Linked DNA regions of Rattus norvegicus. The protein of the gene in region 1 interacts with the protein of each later gene in a biochemical or structural test. Links are inferred from orthologs where the notes say so. Each region holds a gene or a part of one and is shown in the gene's direction. Other genes may lie near its edges.

The links.
Region 2: the proteins of Copa (region 1) and Cope form a complex in vitro, tested with the Homo sapiens proteins (3 studies listed by BioGRID, with this or other methods). The link is inferred for Rattus norvegicus from reciprocal best matches to the Homo sapiens genes COPA and COPE.

What each region holds. Positions count from the first base shown.
Region 1 is NC_086031.1:87,116,622-87,119,826, forward strand, and holds the end of Copa (coatomer subunit alpha), read left to right. Parts: intron 1-179; coding exon 180-341; intron 342-1,510; coding exon 1,511-1,705; intron 1,706-1,982; coding exon 1,983-2,042; 3' UTR 2,043-2,635; downstream 2,636-3,205. UniProt on the Homo sapiens protein: The coatomer is a cytosolic protein complex that binds to dilysine motifs and reversibly associates with Golgi non-clathrin-coated vesicles, which further mediate biosynthetic protein transport from the ER, via the Golgi up to the trans Golgi network.
Region 2 is NC_086034.1:19,148,841-19,152,656, reverse strand, and holds part of Cope (coatomer subunit epsilon), read left to right. Parts: coding exon 1-8; intron 9-507; coding exon 508-589; intron 590-2,094; coding exon 2,095-2,250; intron 2,251-2,789; coding exon 2,790-2,858; intron 2,859-3,541; coding exon 3,542-3,616; coding exon of another isoform or gene 3,617-3,693; coding exon 3,694-3,741; coding exon of another isoform or gene 3,742-3,760; 3' UTR 3,761-3,816. UniProt on the Homo sapiens protein: The coatomer is a cytosolic protein complex that binds to dilysine motifs and reversibly associates with Golgi non-clathrin-coated vesicles, which further mediate biosynthetic protein transport from the ER, via the Golgi up to the trans Golgi network.

The sequences.
Region 1 (3,205 bases):
TTCTCACTGTCATTCCTCAGATCATGAGTTCTCATATTTTAAGAGGTCGAACTAGTCTGTCTTACAGCTACCTGTGCTGGCTTTGTGTTGCTGTTTTGTTTTGTTCTTTTATAATTGTGTAGCTGTTTATAAACCACAGCTGAACCTCACTTTGTTCGGTGCTCCTTTCTGTTCACTAGATGGCGGCTTATTTCACACACTCAAACCTGCAGCCTGTGCACATGATCCTGGTGCTGAGGACAGCCCTCAACCTCTTCTTCAAGCTCAAGAACTTCAAGACAGCTGCCACCTTTGCCCGACGCCTGCTGGAACTTGGGCCCAAACCTGAAGTAGCCCAACAGGTACAGGGGAATTCCATCAGTGCCTTTGGGGGAACCAGATCTTAAATTGAGGAGCAGGGGCTGGGGATTTAGCTCAGTGGTAGAGCGCTTACCTAGGAAGCGCAAGGCCCTGGGTTCGGTCCCCAGCTCCGAAAAAAAGAACCAAAAAAAAAAAAAAAAAAAAAAATTGAGGAGCAGAAGCCAATATCCTTCTCTCTGAAACAATAGAACAGCACTCCACCCAAGAAAGCCAATAGAATGCTGCCTTCTGGTTACTTACCTTGGGGCATCTTTTCCCCCTTGAAACCGGAGTGATAATTTATTCAGATATGGCATTGGGTGCATGGCATTCTAAAATACTCTATATAGATGTTTAAATGGAGTAGATCCTGTAGTTGACTTGACTAAATTTTAGTAGTGAGAAGTAAAAACCTTGCCCAAGTTTGATTTCAGTTTTTTTTCTGTATCCCTGGCTGTCCTAGAACTCACAGAAATTTGCCTGCCTCTGCCTCCCAAGTGCTGTGTTAATTTTGACTTAATTTCAATTTGACATTTGTGCTGGGCTTACCAGCCCTTCTCTTGTGGCCTTGCAACCTAGAATAGCCCCAGTGGGCCTGCAGGTGAGCTCCTAGCCTTAAACTCCGGGCACCTGCAGATAATTCAGCTGTTCTTCAGCTCCAGGTGACCCCTCTTTACCTCTTATACTTTCATTCATAGTCCAGGATCCATGCCACCTAAAAACATTCTCCTTGGGCACTAGAAACCTGTTTCAGCTCTTTATGGGGCCCAATCCTGATAATCTAATCCCAGAAGTAAACAGGATTATGGCTTTAGAGCATGGAGCCATGTTGGAGAAAGAGAAAGATTTCACTGTGTATCCCAAACTCCTGACCTCCTACTGCCTTCTGGGCTCTGGGATGTACTGGTACAACCAGCACAGTGGCAATTGTCATTTTTTCACATACATCCTAGACAGAGGATGGGCCCTGTATTCTCATGGCGTAGTTACTTTAGTTGTCGTGTTCTGTTTCTTGAGACTGGGTATATAACTCAGGCTGTCCTAGAACTTGGGATCCCCCTGTTCCTATGTGCTGGGATTATAGAAATAAACCACCATGCCTAACGTATAATCGCATCGGAGATCATGATGCTTTCTGTACTCGTAAATATTCCTTCCTTCCTTCCTTTAGACAAGGAAAATCTTGTCTGCCTGTGAGAAAAACCCCACAGATGCCTGCCAGCTCAATTATGACATGCACAACCCCTTTGACATTTGTGCTGCATCTTACCGGCCCATCTACCGTGGAAAACCAGTGGAGAAGTGTCCACTCAGTGGGGCCTGCTATTCCCCTGAGTTCAAAGGGCAGATCTGCAGGGTCACTACAGTAAGTACTGTCCTCAAGAGTGTGTCTATCAGGGTTGGGGTGGGGATCCAACAAAAGAAAGAAAGTGTGTGGGATATTGAGGGAAGGGGCAAAGGAAGCTTGGTGCTGGCTCTCTCCCTGCATTTGCTGCGGCTCCCTCAGGCAGTGACACTGCAAAGCTAGTGCTTCCTTCACTGCTCACTTCTCAGCACCAAGCATCCTTCTGCCTGCTCGTCGGCGGGTATAGGGAATAAGCTCTCTGGGGTTCTCTAACCTGATGCTGTTTTTCACTTCACAGGTGACAGAGATTGGCAAAGATGTGATTGGTCTGAGGATCAGTCCTCTTCAGTTTCGCTAAGGTTCTCCCTTCACGTGCATGGTTAATCACACACTGTTCTTTAAAGTCTCTAGCTGCAAACCCTCACTCTCCCCTACAGCCACGATTCGACTTGTTGAGGTTGGTTCTCCCTGAAAACGTCATGTTCTTTCTCTTCGTTGGCAAATCAGAAGTTTCAAGCTTGATTTTCTTGCTCCTGCAGACCTCTCCTGAAGTTTACTGTGCTTGTGATCATAGATGACTTTGCGTTTCAGCTTGGGCCTTCCAAGGAACAAATGAAAACTCTGTGCTGGCCATTTGTTTAGCAAATTCTTTAGTATTTATTCCTTCCTTAACTACCGCCTTTGGTCCAATTCCACTAGCAAGCAGCAGGATGCAAGAAATGACATTTTTCCTCAGCCAAACGAACTGTTAACTATCCCATATTTTTCTTGTGCATTTAATGTCATAAATAAGTTCCTTCTTTATGTGGGCCCACACACTTGCAGGCTGAGAAGAAGTCATTTAGTTTTGCAAAATCTGTACCAGTTTTCACTGATTTGTTCCTGTCCTTTATAACTTACCATTGTTCTTATATCCTGTTGCTCACCAAATAAAGTAAATTTCTGAGAGTCTCCTGGCTGCCATTTACTTCTTGCACACTCACTTTCACGACCCTGCTCATGTCGATGTATCTATCTCACCAGAGCAGATTCTTTGCCTCAGGAACACTTTTTAACCATTATATACATTATATACATTTTAAATTAATACTCACAACAAGGGGAAAATGGTAATGTTTTTCTTGGAGACATGTGAAACGTCTACATTGTTGGGGACTGGTAAAAAGAGTCCACGTTTACTGCAACTTTCTGTTCGTTTCTAACTACAGCCAGTATTTGCTGAGCCCCTATTAATGCCCATCACGGCTCTGCGTGTTTTACTTATTATATGCACATAGAAGAGAATGAGTATATAATAAATTACATATTTACTGTAAGTACAGAGTTGTCTTAGCTTCTGCGGTGATAAAAGACGCTGACAAAAGCACCTTACGGAGATGGGGATCATTTGACTCGAAGTGGCAGGTCCATCATTGCAGGGAAGGGAAGGTGGTAGAACCTGAAGCAGCTGGTCACATTCTACCTCAGGCAGGAGCAGAGGGCACTGACTGCACGCCTTCCTGCAGTCCTCAGCCAGTTTTC
Region 2 (3,816 bases), on another chromosome or scaffold:
CTAGCCCGGTGAGCCACAGCCAAGACCAACCCAGACGTCAGCCTCAGCTTCCCCGAGGCCTCTTATTTCTTGTGCCCCATACAAGTGACACACACCCCTCTCCTAGCCTCTTCCTGGATCCTTTGCTGGGAACAAGGGTGTAGGGCTCTGCTTCCCTCTGTCATGCTGTGGGCAAACACTGTCCTATAGGGTGATGGGAGGCTCTGCGCAGGACATGTGGGAAGCCAAGTCCTATCTCCGTTCTTTGGGGGATGGGTGGGGATTGTTGGAGACGGAGTAGCAGCTCCCTAGGCTGTGGCAGGCCTGGAGCTTACCCTAGATGGTACCACACAGCTGAGCTCTGTCCTGGGTAGCATCTCTCTGCATCTGTACCATTCGGGGCAACAGGAGGGCCAGCCATGTCTTCTCCATATCAGCTGCACACAGACTAGTAGGAGAGTGTGCCAGGGTCCATCCCTAGGTTCTGGGGCCCCCAGGCCACTCAGTGCCCGACCTCTAATGTCCCAGGAAGGAGCTGAAGCGGATGCAGGAGCAAGATGAGGACGCCACCCTCACCCAGCTGGCCACTGCCTGGGTTAACCTGGCCATGGTAAGCTCCCCAGGAATCGGGAAGTGGGAAGGCAGGGACTAAGAAGTGTCACTCCTGTGGCTGCACCCTCTGTTTAACCAAACCTCACCTGCACATGATGGCAGAGCCCTGCAGACACTGACGAGGCTCCTGGAGAGAGAGTCCAGCCAGGCAGCTGGCCAGCTCTCAGTGTCCCCCAGACTTGGAGTGGTTCTGCCCTGCTCTCAGGGCTCCTTTCGTGGGCTGGTGACAGCCGGGCATCCTTAGCTCACACTGCCTGCCTCCTGCCACCTGCCCCATTCTGGTTTCTGGGCTTGGCCCCCTCTCTGAGCTCTTCTGCCCACAGGCCTTTACAGGAGAGCCCAGTGGCCCCTCAAGTGCTTCTCCTCTTGGGTGGGAATGGCCCCAGGTTTTCTGGAGGGGTACTTACTTAGTTTCAGTTTGGGTTTTTGGGTTTTTTCTTTCCTTATGGGACTGGCATGGAACCCAAGGTCTTACTCGTGTCTGGCAAGTGCTACACAGTAAACTACATCCCGGCCATAGTTTGCTTATTTTTATTTAAATTTAGCTTTGAAGGATTTTGTTCTGTTTTAAAAGCAAGTGTCACATAGCCCAGGGGTCATCGGATTGGCCATGTGACTGAGGCTGTTGTAGAATTTCTGATCTTCCTACATCCATCACCCTAGTACTGAGATACAGGCAGGCACCCCATGCCCTGCCCCTCTTACAAGATTGATTTTTGCATATGCATGCAGTACCTGAAGAGGCCAGAAGGGGGTGTCAGCCCCTCACAGCTGGAGTTACAGGTGGCTGTGGTGTGCCCAGTGGATGCCAGCAATGGGTCCATTTAAAGAGTAGCTGCTTACCCATCTTCAGCTCCCTGACCTTTTTTAAAATTTAAAATTTTTGAGCCAGATGGTAGGAGTGCACACCTTCAGTCCCAGCTCCCAGGAGACAGAGGCTGGTGGATCTCTGTGAGTAAAAAACTAGCCTGGTCCACAGAATGAGTTCCAGGACAGCCAGAACTCTACAGAGAAGCCCTGTTGCAAAAAGCCAAAAAGAGTGTTAATTTTTACCTTAGACAGAACTTCACAAGGTTCCACGTAGTGGCTTTGAGTTTACTGTGTGTAGTTTACTAGTATGGGACAACATGTGCAGAGGGGTGGAGCCTTGGTGTTTGTCCTGTAGGGTGATGGGAACTGCTGTCCTGCCTCAGCCCTCAGAGGAGCCGGAGTTGCAGGCCTGCCCTAACAGGCCTCACTGCCTTCTACCGCTTAGAGACTCAGTGTCCCTGTGGTCCCAACACACACCACTTCCCTGGAAACCCCTTTTCTATAGCATCTTAACAGTGGTTAGAGCGGGCAGTGTAGGAGGGACAGGCGGCCTCTGTGTCTTCATCCCTCCACTCAGGGTCCTCTGCTGGAAGGGAGGCGGGACCTGAGCTGGTCTAGAGAGTGACTCCCTGGGGTGCATCATGGAGGGTCGGGCCAGCAGGTGACCAGCAGTTGACCTAGGTGTCCCCACAGGGTGGTGAGAAGCTGCAGGAAGCCTACTACATATTCCAGGAGCTGGCAGACAAGTGCTCGCCCACACTGCTGCTGCTCAATGGCCAGGCAGCCTGCCACTCGGCACAGGGCCGCTGGGAGACCGCGGAGGGCGTGCTTCAAGAGGCACTGGACAAGGTGGGTGTGGCACATGCTGGCCAGCATGGGCAGCACTGCTGGCCGGCATGGGCAGCACAGCTGGCCATGGGAACCAGGTGACCTGATTAGTGAGCATGTGCGCTCTCCAGATCACTGCCTCCTCAGCTGCCTGCTGTGGGGGTCTCCAGGATGACAACTAGTTGTTTCCCTTCTGCTTGTCCCCAACCTTTACCTAATGTAGACCCACTGCCATCCCTGCCTCAATGGAGAAAGACTGGCGATGTAATTTTTGGCATAGGGGTATGGGTGACTTCACAATTATCCAGCAGTTTAATGTGGAGCAAGGAAACTTGGTGCCCCCCAAAGCTAGGAGGACAGACCCAAGCCACGCTGAGCAGGAAGCACAAGGCCATGGTCCCTCTGCCTTACAGAGTGAATGACGAAAACTCTGGGACAGCCTGGTGCCACCTGCCTTCCCTGTGGTAACTTAGACAGGCTCTTTCTGGCCTCAGTCAGATGTTGGTCTGAGGGTTCAGGGCCTGGGTTTTGTTGACTGCCTGTTCTCCATCTTTTTCCAGGACAGTGGCCACCCTGAGACCCTCATCAACCTCATTGTACTGTCACAGCACCTGGGCAAGCCCCCTGAGGTAGGCTGGAGTGTGACTTAGGCCTCAGCCCCTTCAGGATGGTGGTGAGGACAGAAACAGGACAGGTAGAGGCCAGTGGAGACCTGGGGGAAGAGGAAGTTGGTGCAGCTTTCTGCATAGGTAACCAGGGTGCAGCTTGCTGAGCCCTGAGCCAGCATCTGTTGCTGTCCCAGTTGAGGACAGACAGCGTCCTCAGTGTTGTGTACACAGGGCTGGGCTGGAGCTGCCTGGCTTTTAGGTCCTAGAACAGTGGCTCTCAAGCTGAATGTTAAATGAGCCCTTCACATACCCGCATAGCAGATCTTTACCTCACAGTTGATAACAGTAGCAAAATTACACTTCTGAAGTAGCAAAGAAAATTTTATGGTTGGGGGTCAGCACAACATGAGTAACTGAATTAAAGGGCCACAGCTTTAGGAAGTTGAAAACTGTCTTAGAACCTAGGACATGACAGCTCAAAAAGCTTCATCAGCCAATCACCTGCCCTGGCCACTCCCTCCCTGGAGCCTCTGCTGCACCTCTGAGGCTAGCTGTGGATGTGCTTCCCGATCCCTTAAGCCTGTCCTGGCTCTCCGTTGGGGGTGGGAGTCAGGGTCCCTCCCATGCTCCCACCCCATCCTGCATGGTAGCATGGCTTTTGGATCCCCATATCTGCCCGACTAATTCCACCCCACTCTCCTCAGGTGACAAACCGATACTTGTCACAGCTGAAGGATGCACACAGGACCCACCCCTTCATCAAGGAGTACCAGGCCAAGGTGCGCAGAGCGGTTGTCCTCGGGATGGGGAGGGAGAAGGCTGTGTGTCTCATGCTGTGTCCCATCTCCCACTGTAGGAGAACGATTTCGATCGCCTGGCACTGCAGTACGCACCCAGCGCCTAAGGTGGAGATGCCGTGGTGACCCCACTGTGTGCTGCAGGATGCTGTCCTCTCTTCCTTGTCTGCCAATAAAGTCTG